Linked DNA regions of Macaca fascicularis. The protein of the gene in region 2 purifies or fractionates together with the protein of the main gene of each other region. This does not show direct contact. Links are inferred from orthologs where the notes say so. Each region holds a gene or a part of one and is shown on either strand. Other genes may lie near its edges.

Region 1 (4,716 bases), on a different chromosome or scaffold from region 2:
TCTGTGTTTTTATTTGTGAAATGGGATGACAAAGGTCTTCTCCTAGGTGCATCAGAGCACACCTGAGAAAAACTGGCACATAGCCAGAAGTTACAAGAACATTCTGGCATTGCGTAGGGAAGGGCAGCTGGAGGCGAGGGAGTTGCACAGCAGAAGTTCATAGATAACAGAAAGGTGTATCTTCAGTGGGATTTGCCACCCTTGGTGAACCCGCATTTGAGAAGTGTTACTGGCCAGTTAAATTAACTTAATGGGCACAGGCGGTGGTAGGTGCCCTTTGATGATGCAGGTCATGTGCCAGTTTCTATTTATTTATTTATTTATTTGAGAGGGAGTCTTGCTCTGTCGCCCAGGCTAGAGTGCAGTGGTGCGATCTCAGCTCACTGCAAGCTCCGCCTCCTGGGTTCACGCCATTCTCCTGCCTCAGCCTCCGGAGTAGCTGGGACTACAGGTGCCTGCCACCACGCCCGGCTAATTTTTTGTATTTTTAGTAGAAACGGGGTTTCACCGTGTTAGCCAGGATGGTCTGGATCTCCTGACTTCGTGATCCGCCCACCTTGGCCTCCCAAAGTGCTGGGATTACAGGCGTGAGCCACCGTGCCTGGTCTCAGTTACTAGTTATTTATTTTTTTTTTAATTTTTTTTTTTTTTTTTTTTTTTTTTTTTTGAGACGGAGTCTTGCTCTGTCGCCCAGCCCAGGCTGGAGTGCAGTGGCGCGATCTCGGCTCACTGCAAGCTCCGCCTCCCGGGTTCACGCCATTCTCCTGCCTCAGCCTCCCGAGTAGCTGGGACTACAGGCGCCCACAACCGCGCCCGGCTAATTTTTTGTAATTTTTAGTAGAGACGGGGTTTCACCGTGGTCTCCATCTCCTGACCTTGTGATCCGCCCGCCTCGGCCTCCCAAAGTGCTGGGATTACAGGCGTGAGCCACCGCGCCCGGCCACTAGTTATTTATTTATGAGACAGTTTTGCTCTGTTGCCCAGGCTAGAGTGCAGTGGCGTGATTTTAGCTCACTGCAACCTCTGATTCAAGCAGTTCTCCTGCCTCAGCCTCTCAAGTAGCTGGGGGTACAGGGATGCGCCACCACGCCTGGCTAGTTTTGTATTTTTAGTAGAGATGGGGTTTCACCATTTTGGCCAGGCTGGTTTCGAACTCCTAGCCTCAGGTGATCCACCCTCCTTGGCCTCCCAGAGTGCTGGGATTACAGGTGTGAGCCACCATGCCTGGTAGCCAGGTACTTTTTTTTTTTCTTTTGAGACGGAGTATCGCTCTGTTGCCCAGGCTGTAGTGCAGTGGCACGATCTTGGCTCACTGCAACCTCTGCCTCCTGGGGTTCCAGGGATTCTCCTGCCTCAGCCTCCTGGGTAGCTGGGATTACAGGCATGCGCTACCATGCCTGGCTAATTTTTGTATTTTTTGTAAAGGGGGTTTCACCATGTTGGTCGGGATGGTCTCAAACTCCTAACCTTGTGATCTGCCTGCCTCGGCCTCCCAAAGTGTTGGGATTACAGGCGTGAGCCACCGCACCCCACCAGCCAGTTCCTATTTAATGTGTAGTTGGTGAGACCTTGAAGAACTGCCTTGGCCCTCAGAGGGTGTGCAGTTGTGGGCTTTGGAGCCCTGTTCTGTCAGCTCATGTTGTTTCAGGCCTGGTCCTCTTCACTGGCACTCATCAGCAGGGCCTTGTCATCACTCATTCCCATCACATCCTCTGGCAGTTTGTTCAATGCAAGTGATACTTGGAGCTGTGAGAAGCAATGTGTTTTCTAAACACTGTATTCTTAAGCTAGATGTCACCCGTACCAGTGCTTTTTAAACTGTTTTTGGTGAAGGATAGATACTATTTCCAATCTGTTTGCTTTTGGTATATATGATAGAATTACTTTTTAAAGAAAGACCTCAGACAGGGGTTCGAGACCAGCCAGGCCAACATGGTGAAACCCCCATCTCTACTAAAAATGCAAAAACTAGCCAACATGCTGTCGTGTGCGTGTAAGCCGAGGTACTCAGGAGGCTTAGGCAGGAGAACCGCTTGAAGGATTCTAGTCGGTTCCTGGGTTCCTTTTAGAGACACAGAAACACAGAGGGGAAAGTGGGGTTTAGAATCGCTTGAACCCGGGAAGCAGAGGTTGCAGTGAGCTCAGATCGCACCATTGCACTCCAGTCTGGGCAGCAGAGCACGACTTCGTCTCAAAAAAAAAAAAAAAAAGACCTGCAGAATAAAAGACCAAATTTATATTACAGTCAGTGGACATCAAACTGTGAAATTACTGTAGAAGTTTCTGAACACTTACTCATGGTTTCTGTACTTACCTGTACTTATCACAGTCCAGCAACAGTTTGGATAGTACTGGTCCATGGACCATGCTTAGTTTTTGAGACAGGGTCTTATTCTGTCACCCAGGCTGGAGTGCAGTGTCACAATCATGGCTCACGGCAGCCTTAACCTCTGGTGCCCAAAAGATTCTTCCCCCCTCAGCCTCCCTAGTAGCTGGGACTATAGGTGTGTGCCATTACACCTGGCTAATTTTTAAATTTTTTGTAGAGATGGTGTTTCACTGTTTCCCAGGCTAGTCTGAAACCCCTAGGCTCAAGCATTCTTCCTGTGTCGTCCTCCCAAAGTGCTGGGATTACAAGTGGAAAGCCACTGTGCGTGGCTGCAGACCATGCTTTGATCTGTGCCACTCCCCTCCCTGCACTGTGACAGGGGAAGTGTGAGTGGATGTTTATTTTTGTAGGGGGTGGGGGTGGGAGGGTTGACCTGCTTATTTCTTTGGTGAGTGACCCTTGCCATTTCCCCTAGTCCTTCCCACCCTGTCACCTCTCTTCTTGTTCCCAGGACCCTCGAGATGCCCCGCCTCCAACTCGTGCAGAAACCCGAGAGGAGCGCATGGAGAGGAAAGTATGTCATTGTTGCTTCCTGACCCCCTGTTTTGCCACTGTTTCCAAATGGTCCTTGACACTAGGACACTTCTATCTGCATTTACTTCTCTACTTTCCCTTTCTCTTGACAGAGACGGGAAAAGATTGAGCGGCGACAGCAAGAAGTGGAGACAGAGCTTAAAATGTGTAAGTCTCTCATCCACCATTCGGCTCTCTCCTCCCCCAAACCCTCTGTGTTCTTCCCAGGTCATACCCAGGACCCTGCTGTCACCCAAAGCCTGTTTTGCAGGGAGCAGGGTTGTTAGTTCATTTATTTAGCCCCTGCCACTTGGCAAGCACTGTTTTTGGTTTAGGCTTTTCAGCAGCAGAACATAGGGTAAAAGTTGGCAGGAAGGGAGACCCCAGTACCTTGGGCTCCTCCTGCAGGGGAGGACAGTTAAGGGACTCCCACAACCTAGCTGGGAGTCACAGGCTGAGGCGATGAGTTGTGGGCGAGTGGATCTGTCCTGGCTCTAACGTTAGCTCCTCAACCCTTGGGCTGAGGTTGTTCCATCCCCTCCACATAGAGGAGGAATTGGAGTACAAGACAGATATATTGTTGCCATTAAGCAAACTCATAAGAGGGTCAGATGTCAACCTCCAGTGGCTCTTTATTGTGAGGGTGAAAACTGTACAGTCACACGCAGCATAACAGTGTTTCAGTCAGCAGGGGACTGTGGGTGTGATGGTGATCCTATAAGATTATACCATATTTTCCCGAGTGCAGTGGCTCACTTCTGTAATCCCAGCACTTTGGGAGACCAAGGCGGGTGGATCATGAGGTCGGGAGTTCAAGACCAGCCTGGCCAACATGGTGAAATCCTGTCTCTACTAAAAGTACAAAAATTAGCCGGGCGTGGTGGCGGGCTCCTGTAATCCCAGCTACTTGGGAGACTGAGGCAGGAGAATCTCCGGAAGGCGGAGGTTGCAGTGAGCCGAGATCGCGTCCGCTCTCTGCAACCCAGCCTGGGCAACAAGACCGAAAATCCATCTAAAAAAAAAAAAATTATACCATATTTTTACTGTACCTTTTCTATGCTTAGATACGTTTAGATGCACAAATACTTAGTATTGTGTTAGGGTTGCTGTAGTATTTGGCGTAGTAACATGCTTGGCCTCGGAGCAGTGGGACGCACCCTCTAGCCTGGGAGTGTTGTGAGGTATACCATCTAGGCTCGCGGAAGTGCCGTCTCATGTTTGCATATCGATATCACCATCAAATGACGCACTTCTCAGAACATGACGTGACTCTAGTGAGAAGACAGGTTTTCCTCCTATACCTGTGAACTTCAATGAATCCCTTTCCTCCAAATCCTGGAGTGCAGGGTTTCCTCAGGGTGCTTACACAGAAGTGTGACAGAGGCATCTGGTGGTGCACTCTTTGGACACTGGCTGTCAGAACGCTGCCTTGATGTCCTTCCTCAGATGCCTCAGAGGCATCTCAGAATCAGTGTCCAAACCACAGGGGTTTTCCCTTGCCGCCAACCTGGTTTCCTTTGGGTGTTTTCTCTGGGACGTAGACATTCAAGTGTGCTGGTCATGACCTCATTTTTTGCCATGCAGTTTGTTTCTAACACCTTTTCTAACCCTTTGCTCAGTCTCTCACCAAGACCTATTTGTGTTACTTTCTAAGTGTCACAAACCTGACTCTTCTTTTTGTGTCTATCACCACCACCCAGGTCACCTCTTGCCTGGACAGCACAGTCACAGTCTGCTATAACTAGTTTACCTATGTCTTTTTTTTTTTTTTTTGAGAGAGAGCCTCGCTCTGTCGCCAGGCTGCAGTGGCGCGA
Region 2 (5,164 bases):
AATTTTAGAACATTGCTATCTGTCCAAAATGGATTCCTTGTGCGCATTTGTAATCACTTCCAATCTCTCCGCCGGTCACAAGCAACCACTCATATACTTTCTGCCTCCATAGATTTGCCTTTGTTAAATCAAGTTTAGCCTAAAGCTGCCTCCTTACATATTTTAAATTTAGCCTAAAGGTTTCTCTGTATATGGTGAACTATAACCTAAATGGAGTTGTAAACAGACCATAGCCTACCCTTTGCCAATCACCGAGTTTTGGCCAATCAAATGGCAAACTATGCAAACCGTGTTCAAATAAGGCAAAGGCCAAGCTGTAACCGGTGTTTTTGGTTTGGTTTTTTTGTTTCGCAGGGGCTATGCTAATCTCTGTATGGTTCCAATTTTAGTATATGTGCTGCCATAGTGAGCACCAGTGTTTTTCTTTTAACACCGTTCTGGACATTTTATCTGAACATACACTGTTGTTTTTCTATCTGGCTTCTTTCACTTAGCATGATGCTTTCATGGTTCATCATTGTAGTATTCATTTATTGCAGGATAATGTTCCATTGTACTGTATAGATATACCACACTTTATCCATTTGCCAGTTAATAGACGATTGGGTTGCATCCAGTTTTTGTCTATTATGAATAATGCCGCCGTGAACATGTGAACACATGGACATGTTTGCATTTCTCTACTTACAAGTGAAGATATATAGACACAATCTTTTTTTTTTTTTTTTTTAAGGCTGTATAGCATTTCACAGCTGGTCTTCCTCTGCTTGGATGCACAGTATTTTATTTTATTTTACTTTTTTTGAGACGGAGTCTGTCTCTGTCGCCCAGGCTGGAGTGCAGTGGCTTGATCTCAGCTCACTGCAATGTCTGCCTCCTGGGTTCAAGCGATTCTCCTGCCTCAGCCTCCCGAGTAGCTGTGACTACAGGCGTGTGCCACCATGACGGCTAATTTTTTGTATTTTTAGTAGAGGTGGGGTTTCACCATGTTAGACAGGATGGTCTTGATCTGACCTCGTTGGCCCGTTGGATGCACAGTATTTTATTTAACATATTCCCTGCCGATAGACAAGTCGTTTCTACACGTGAATTTCTTTCTTCCTTTTTTTTTTTTTTTTTTTTTTTTTGAGACTGAGTCTCATTCTGTTGCCCAGGCTGGAGTGCAGTGGCACGATCTCAGCTCACTGCAATCTCTGCTTCCCAGGTTCAAGAGATTCTCCTGCCTCAGCCTCCGGAGTGGCTGAGACAACAGGTGTGTGCCACCACGCCCGGCTAATTTTTGTTTGTTTGTTTTTAGTAAAGACGGGGTTTCACCATGTTGGCCAGGCTGGTCTCGAACCCCTGACCTCAAGTGATCCGCCCGCCTCGGCTTCCCAAAGTGCTGGATTACAGGCGTGAGCTACCACGCCCAGCCTCACATGTGAATTTCTTTAAAAACACCACCAGCAAAACCCCACTATTCCCATTTTACTAAGAAAGGTGCTGAAGTCCAGAGAAGCAGAAAATGTTCTCATAATTTACGCTGAAAGCTGCGTCCTCAAGTTCCGGTTTCCCATCTCCCAGCTGCACTCCAACTGCTCGCGCAGTCCCCACAGTGTACCTGCCCGCCCAGCCGGCCCCAGCAAGCCCCAGGAAGCGGTCCGCTGAACCTCGGGCTCTTGGGTTTTCCTATGTCCCCTGGAGGTATCTGCAAACCTCTCGGCATCGCTCCACCACACCTCCCACCAGTAGGTGGCACTGTTGCCATCTCCATAACATAGACTGGCCTTCCTTGTGGTGCTCATGTTTTCCTAAGTCCCCGGGCACTTCCGGCACTCGCGGAACTTTGATGCAGCTGGATGCGCAACGTGGGGACTCAGGCGCGCCGGGCGGCAGGAGTTGCTTCCGGCCGTGTAGGTGGTCTGAATTGGGAGGCTGCGGCTAAGGGAAGATGGAGACAATACTGGAGCAGCAGCGGCGCTATCATGAGGAGAAGGAACGGCTCATGGACGTCATGGCTAAAGAGATGCTCACTAAGAAGTCCACGGTGAGTGGGGCCTGAGCAGGGGCTGCGGCAGGGGCATGGGCCTCAATCCCGTGTTTGACCTCTGAGAGCTTGCTTTGGCCCTCAGCGCCTCCCCGCACTCCGCCTCCTGCCTCCTCCGGGGCTCCCTCTCCGAGCTCCGGTCTTGGTAACCTCCTCCCGGGGTCCAGAGCCCCAGAGGCCTTTCTTCCTCAGCTGCTAAAACCTGAGCGGATAAAACCTGAGCGGGTAAGCGCCGCCCTCGGGCGGCCTTTTCTATTCCAGAACGCGAGCTAACGGCGTTTGTGTCACCGTTTGCTTTTTCAGCTCCGGGACCAGATCAATTCTGATCACCGCACTCGGGCCATGCAAGATGTGAGTGCCCAGCTGTCTGTCACTCTTTGGGTTGGCGAGGGCGGGAAAAGAGAGGGGAAGTGAAGTGCGGGGTCTCAGCATGAGCACTGGCCAAAGGTAACCGGATTGGCCAGTCGCGAGCTCTCTGCCTGGACAGATATCCACAGGCTGCCGAATGTAAGGGTGCTTCCTCAGTTCTCTGAATGGGGAACTCTTACGCATTCTTCGTTAATCGGAAAGGTGCCCCCCCTTTTTTTTTCTTTTAAGACGGAGTCTCGCTCTGTTGCCCAGGCGCGGTCTCGGCTCCCTGCAACCTCCGACTCCCGAGTTCAAGCGATTCTCCTGCCTCAGCCTCCGGAGTAGTTGGGATTACAGGCGCTCGCCACCACGCCCAGCTAATTTTTGTATTTTTTGTAGAGACGGAGATTCACCATGTTGGTCAGGCTGGTCTCGAACTCCTGACCTCGTGATCCACCTACCTCGGCCTCCCAAAGTGCTGGGATTACAGGCTTGAGCCACTGCGCCCGGCTTACACGTGTCCGTTTTACAGCATCCTGTATCCCTTGGATGTGCAAACAATAGTTATGAGGAGTCCATGACTCAGGTGCATAGCTACAATCCTTGCCTTAAAAAAAAAAAATATATATATATATATGTATGTATGTATACCGTATATTAGTATGTATGTATACCGGATATTAGTGTTTTTCTCCCAGGATACTGCTTTAAAGCATTTTGGACTACTAAACTGCATTTGTCTGGTAGTAGTTTAATTTATTACTTAAAAGAAAAACAAGATGCTATTTAAATTTTTAAACAAGGTGATGAGTAAATGGAGGTTCATTTTACTACGTTCCTTACTCTTGGGTACGTTTGAAATCTGTTTAAAATGGAATAAAAGACTTACTTGGACCTTCTGATTTTCAGGAGATGATCAGATTACAAGCCCTCAGCCCCAAAATACTCTGAAAACCAAGGATTTTATTTTTTTCCCCTTGGGTGATTATTTGGTGTCAAAATCTGACCTGCTGTCACTTGACAGGTTTACTGGCCTGAACCTGTGATAGGCTTTTTATGGTCTTTAATTTACCTCACTTAGTAAATAAGGTATAAGGTTTACTGCAGAACTGTGTGCTCCAGATTCCACTAGGACTGTTACATAATATGTGATACCTTTTCTGAACTTAAAAATTCCAAATTCTGAAACAAATCTGGGCCCAAAAGTTTTGGAGGAGGGGACTATGTACCTGTACCATCCCGAATTAGTATATTTTGACTACAAAAGAAGCCTATGTAATGTTTATTTAGCCTGTCTACTCCTCAGTCAAGCTTTTTGAAATAGTGAATATCATCTTTATCTTTGAGGATGTTAGGTGGGAGCTAGTGTTTAGCCAAAGAGGGTGAGTCTGTTACAGGGAAAGTTAGGCATCGGTGGTATGTAAAAATAGGAGCCACCCCTTAAATGTTATCATTTAGGTAATCTTCCAATCGACCTGCTTAAAAAACTAACCAGGAATCAGGGCTGTTAAAGGGCTATTGAAAAACTAACCAGCAAACAGGGCTATTAAAGGTACTAGGAAGCACAGAACTGTTAAGACCATGTCCATATCTCTTGAGATTGCCCTGGGCTTTGACTGGAGAGCCCTTGTTGTTTGCTTAGCTCTACATTTGTGCAAATTGCCTCATTCTGATGGTTTTGTATTTGCCTTTCAGAGGTATATGGAGGTCAGTGGGAACCTGAGGGATTTGTATGATGATAAGGATGGGTAAGTGACAGTCACAGCTAATCTAGGAGTTAGTGCTTCTGAGGAGCCATGGTTAGAGGACTGACTTTGTGCTCTATCTTTGAAATTTTCCTGAAATTGCAGATTACGAAAGGAGGAGCTCAATGCCATTTCAGGACCCAATGAGTTTGCTGAATTCTATAATAGACTCAAGCAAATAAAGGAATTCCACCGGAAGCACCCAAATGAGGTATGTCCTCCGAAAAGTATTTTCTCCAGACCTATCTTTAAAGCATATAAAGGAAAGTATAAAGGAAACTGGACATGTGCTATTCAAATGCACTTCAAGAAAGAACTTGCCATTTAGGTGCAAGGACCATAGTTAGCTGACATCCTACAACTGCAGTGTTTTCAGCATCTCCCTCAGCTTTGAAGCCAAGGCTGGCCGGGTGCGGTGGCTCACACCTGTAATCCCAGCACTGTGGGAGGCTGAGGTCGGCGGATCACCTGAGGTCAGGAGTTCGAGACCAGCCTGACGAACATAGTGAAACCCCATCTCTACTAAAAATGCAAAAATTAGCTAGGCATGGTGGCATGCGCCTATAATCCCAGCTACTTGGGAGGCTGAGGCAAGAGAATCACTTGAACCCGGGAGGCGGAGGTTGCAGTGAGCCGAGATTGCGCCATTGCACACCATCCTGAGGGACAAGAGTGAGACTTCATCTCAAAAAAAAGCCAAGGCCACATTTCGTGGGCAGCTCCTGGCCAGTGACTAAGCACAGTATGGGTACTAGGGCCCAGCAATTTGGTCCACTGTGAGACTCCTCTGATGAGTTATCTTTGCTCCACGGCTCCCCATTGGGTGGGTCAAGATTTTGTCCAATCTGCATTGTGGTCTAGGCTATCCTGGCCTAATCCTGCTTTCTCCTCCTTTTTGTCTTTCACAGAAATTACTCCCCCCAATAAATTATGCTCCTAACTCTGTCTTTTTTTTTTTTTTTTTTGAGATGGAATCTCACTCTGTCACCCAGGCTGGAGTGCAGTGGCACGATTTCGGCTCTCTGCAAACTCCACCTCCCGAGTT
Region 3 (4,716 bases), on a different chromosome or scaffold from region 2:
GACATGGTGGTCAGAGGTGGCAACGTTTCCTCTGAGACTTGGGTGACTAGAAGGTGGCCGCCATGTAAACCTCAGGGGAGGGATGTTCCAGGTAAAGGGAGCAGCCAGTGCAAAGGCCCTGGGGCAGAATTGTTGTGTCAGACCTAGGGGCCAGTGTGGTTGGGGACTCAGGAGCATAGTGGAATGTGGGCAGGAATGAGTTGGGGGAAATCTGCCAGGGCCACGTCATGCAGGCCTGTGTCAGGGTGCTGGTGGCAATGAAAAGAATCACTCATATTTACTGAGCGTTTACTATGTACCGGATGCTGTCCTGAGCACTTTGCATGTATGTGCACATGTTCGTTATATAGCAGCTCTCTGTAAGCACATCTTACAGAAGAGTGTACTTGGCTGCTTGAGTGGTTCCTGGCCGCTTCTGTGATTGTTAGGTCTTGAGAGATTATGGACCCGAGGCATTCTGGGTAGCCCGTCAATTGGCTGATGGTCTTCTATCTGGGCTGCGCTTCTTCTAACAAGGGGAGCTCAGAGGTCTTTTCTTTCCCCACTGCAGAGCTAAAAAAGTCCCTGTACGCCATCTTCTCCCAGTTTGGCCAGATCCTGGATATCCTGGTATCACGGAGCCTAAAGATGAGGGGCCAGGCCTTTGTCATCTTCAAGGAGGTCAGCAGCGCCACCAACGCCCTGCGCTCCATGCAGGGTTTCCCCTTCTATGACAAGCCCATGGTGAGCATTGTGGGTATGGAGGCTGTGTGGGTGTGTGAAATGTTATAGGAGACTGGGCGGGCCTGGATTAGAGGAGGGGATATTAGGGTTCATTCACCAAGGTGAGACTGGACCAGGCTCCCACTGCACCTTGCCTCCTTTAAAAATTTTTTTGGCGGAGTGCGGTGGCTCATGCCTGTAATCCCAGCACTTTCGGAGGCCGAGGCAGGCAGTTTACCTGAGCTCAGGAGTTTGCGACTAGCCTGGGCAACACTGTGAAACCCCGTCTACTAAAATACAAAAATTAGCTGGGCGTGGCAGCATGCGCCTGTAGTCCCAGCTACTCGGGAGGCTGAGGAAGGAGAATTGCTTGAACCTGGGAGGCAGAGGTTGCAGTGAGCCGAGATCCTGCCACTGCTCTCCAGCCTGGGTGACAGAGTGAGACTGTCTCAAAATACGTATATATATGTATATTTGGCTGGACATGGTGGCTCATGCCTGTAATCCCAGCACTTTGGGAGGCTGAGGCCAGTGGATTACCTGAGGTCAGGAGTTCGAGACCAGCCTGGCCAACATGGCGAAACCCTGTCTCTACAAAAATACAAAAATCAGCTGGGCATGATGGCTGGCACCTGTAATCCCAGCTACTTGGGAGGCTGAGGCAGGAGAATTGCTTGAACCCGAGAGGCGGAGGTTGCAGTGAGCCAATATCGCACCACTGCACTCCAGCCTGGGTGACAGAGCAGGACTATATCTCAAAAAATAAAAATAAATTTAAAGAAATCTTAAAAAAATTTTTTTTAATTTATTTTATTTATTTATTTATTTTTGATGAGATAGACGATGCTATCTCCCCTGGAAACGCTGATTTTTGTATTTTTAGTAGAGATAGGGTTTCGCCATGTTGCCCAGGCTGGTCTCGAACTCCTGAGCTCCAGTGATCTGCCGGCCTCAACCTCCCAAAGTGCTAGGATTACAGGCGTGAGCTACTGTGCCACACTAAGAATGTTTAACATACCTTCCCCTACTGAATAAGCACCGTGAAAGAGGGGTTTTTGTCTATTTTTTTCATTGCTTTATTCCCAGAGCCTCGAATTGTGCCTGGCATCTGGCAGGTTCTTCTTTTTTTTTTTTTTTTTGAGACAGAGTCTTGCTCTGTCGCCCAGGCTGGAGCGCAGTGGCCGGATCTCGGCTCACTGCAAGCTCCGCCTCCCGGGTTTATGCCATTCTCCTGCCTCAGCCTCCCGAGTAGCTGGGACTACAGGCGCCCGCCACCTCGCCCGGCTAGTTTTTTTTTTTTTTTTTTTTTGTATTTTTTAGTAGAGACGGGGTTTCACTGTGTTAGCCAGGATGGTCTCGATCTCCTGACCTCGTGATCCGCCCGTCTCGGCCTCCCAAAGTGCTGGGATTACAGGCTTGAGCCACCGCGCCCGGCCTGGCAGGTTCTTCTTAAACAGCTAAGTGAATGAGATTGAACCTGGAAGACTGAGGTGTATTCTTGTGTGATAGGAAATCCCCGTGCACTGCACTCCTCTCCTAGCATTGTCTCCTCGGGCTTTTGGCCTGACGTTTATTGCTGTTCCAGCTTCCCTTGAAAATACCAACAGCCTTTCTACTGAACACTTACTTACTGTGTGTCAGGTACTGTTCCAAGCACTTTAACTCATTTAGTCCTCATAACAGTCCTTTGAAGTGGGAGGTATCATAATCCCCGTTTTTCAGACAAGGAGGTTAAGGCCAAGATATTTATATTTCTGTGTTTCTCAGTAAGCTCCTGATAAGGTCTGATTTTTTTGTTTTTTGTTTTTGTTTTGTTTTGTTTTTTGAGACAGTGACTTGCTCTGTCGCCTGGGCTGGAGTGCACAGGCGCGATCTCAGCTCACTGCAACCTTCGCCTCCCGGGTTCAAGCGATTCTCCTGCCTCCTGCCTCCTGCCTCAGCCTCTTGAGTAGCTGGGACTACAGGTGCATGCCACCATGCCCAGCTAATTTTTGTATTTTTGGTACAAATGGGGTTTCCCGGCCAGGCGCGGTGGCTAGTGCCTGTAATCCCAGCACTTTGGGAGGCTGAGGCGGATGGATCATGAGGTCCGGAGTTCGAGACCAGCCTGGCCAAGATGGTGAAACCCTGTCTCTACTAACAATACAAAAATTAGCCGGGCATGGTGGTGGGCGCCTGTAATCCCAGCTAGTAGTGAGACTGAGGCAGAATTGTTTGAACCTGGGAGGTGGAGGTTGCAGTGAACTGAGATCTCATCACTGCACTTTAGCCTGGGTGACAGAGCAAGACAATGTCTCAAAAAAAGAAAGAAAGAAAAAGAGAGAGAGACAGAGACAAAGAAATGGGGTTTCGCTGCAATGGCCAAACTGGTCTCCACCTCCTGACCTCAAGTGACCTACTCCCTTTAGTCTCCCAAAGGGCTGGGATTACAGGCATGAGCCACAACACCTGGCCCCGGTAAAGGTCCAGTTTTGAATCTTGGCAATTGGGCTCTGAATCCACGCTCTTAACCCGTTCTGCTCTCTGTTTTGGTAGCGTATCCAGTACGCCAAGACTGACTCAGATATCATTGCCAAGATGAAAGGCACCTTCGTGGAGCGGGACCGCAAGCGGGAGAAGAGGAAGCCCAAGAGCCAGGAGACCCCAGCCACCAAGAAGGCTGTGCAAGGCGGGGGAGCTGCCCCTGTGGTGGGGGCTGTCCAGGGGCCTGTCCCGGTAAGCCAGGCCCTGGAGACCAGCCCTCCCACTGCCAAGCCTTCCTCAGCCACATGGACTGGCTTTGGGACAGGGTGGGGAGAGTTCTCCACTTGGGGCTTCAGACCCCCTCCTTTCTGTTTCCTTATAGAGATGTGTGTCTCTCTTTTGGGGTGTTGAGCACCTAGATGATGCTATATCCTCTTGAAACGCTTGTTTCCTCCTTGTGAATGTTTCTCAAGGTCTTTCTTCATGGCTGTGACTTGGTTTCGCTCTCTCCATGGCCTTGATTTTGTCGCCTGTGTCTTGTAACTCATTGTGCATGTAGAAAGTCCAAGTGTCTACTAAGCAACTGTTAGGATTAATAAGTGAACTTCATTTAGAAAGGTTGCTGGATATAAGGGCAATATGGAAAAAATTAGTTTTATTATTTATTAATATTATTTTTGAGACATGGTCTCACTGTCACCCAGGTTGGAGTGCAGTGGTGCCATCACAGCTCACTGCAACCTCTGCCTCAGCCTCCCTAGCAGCTGGAGCTGCCGGTGCGTGCCACCCCACCCAGCTCACTTTTGCATTTTTTGTAGAGACGGGGCTTAGCTGTATCATCCAGGCTAATCTCAAACTCACTGTCTCAGCCTCCCAAAGTGCCAGGATTACATGCATGAGTCACCATGGCCGACCCCCAGTTTTATTTTTATATGCCAGTAACAGACAAGTAGACTTCACATTGAGAAGTAGCACTGAGGGGTAAATCCAACAAAAGGTTTGCAGAATGACTACACTGAAATCACAGAACGTAGCTGGGAGAAATCAGAGACTCAGCAATGGATAGAAGGACTCAGTATTGTCAAGAGGTCAGTTCCATCCAAATTAATGAATATTCAACGTGATTGCAGTCAAAATTCCAACAGGTATTTTGGTAAACAGTGGACACTGATTGGCTCTTTGTAAATGTGTGGAAAGACAAGGCTAAGCCAGGCGAGGATAATAAAGCACCTGGACCTGCATGGCCAGGGGAAGCTCCAGCAACTAGGCCAGACCCAGTGGCTCATGTCTGTAATCCCACCACTTTGGGAGGCCAAAATAGGAGGATTTCTTTTTTTTTTTTTTTTTTTTGGAGACAGAGTCTTGCTCTGTCGCCCAGGCTGGAGTGCAGTGGTGTAATCTTGGCTCACTGCAAGCTCCACCTCCCAGGTTCACGCCATTCTCCTGCCTCAGCCTCCCCAGCAACTGGGACTACAGGTGCCCGCCACCACGCCCGGCTAATTTTTTTGTATTTTTAGTAGAGACGGGGTTTCACTGTCTTGATCTCCTGTT

What was found. Proteins that work in one complex are often made in the same cells at the same time.
Region 1: the proteins of SF3A3 (region 2) and SNRNP70 fractionate together in Homo sapiens (co-fractionation; 3 studies listed by BioGRID). This does not show direct contact. The link is inferred for Macaca fascicularis from reciprocal best matches to the Homo sapiens genes SF3A3 and SNRNP70.
Region 3: the proteins of SF3A3 (region 2) and SNRPA fractionate together in Homo sapiens (co-fractionation; 4 studies listed by BioGRID and IntAct, with this or other methods). This does not show direct contact. The link is inferred for Macaca fascicularis from reciprocal best matches to the Homo sapiens genes SF3A3 and SNRPA.

The regions. Positions count from the first base shown.
Region 1 is NC_088393.1:57,064,880-57,069,595, forward strand, and holds part of SNRNP70 (U1 small nuclear ribonucleoprotein 70 kDa), read left to right. Parts: intron 1-2,840; coding exon 2,841-2,903; intron 2,904-3,015; coding exon 3,016-3,070; intron 3,071-4,716. UniProt on the Homo sapiens protein: Component of the spliceosomal U1 snRNP, which is essential for recognition of the pre-mRNA 5' splice-site and the subsequent assembly of the spliceosome. SNRNP70 binds to the loop I region of U1-snRNA.
Region 2 is NC_088375.1:196,924,476-196,929,639, forward strand, and holds the start of SF3A3 (splicing factor 3A subunit 3), read left to right. Parts: upstream 1-1,873; 5' UTR 1,874-1,930; coding exon 1,931-2,026; intron 2,027-2,329; coding exon 2,330-2,377; intron 2,378-4,069; coding exon 4,070-4,122; intron 4,123-4,224; coding exon 4,225-4,330; intron 4,331-5,164. UniProt on the Homo sapiens protein: Component of the 17S U2 SnRNP complex of the spliceosome, a large ribonucleoprotein complex that removes introns from transcribed pre-mRNAs.
Region 3 is NC_088393.1:47,871,508-47,876,223, forward strand, and holds part of SNRPA (U1 small nuclear ribonucleoprotein A), read left to right. Parts: intron 1-550; coding exon 551-723; intron 724-3,237; coding exon 3,238-3,417; intron 3,418-4,716. UniProt on the Homo sapiens protein: Component of the spliceosomal U1 snRNP, which is essential for recognition of the pre-mRNA 5' splice-site and the subsequent assembly of the spliceosome. U1 snRNP is the first snRNP to interact with pre-mRNA.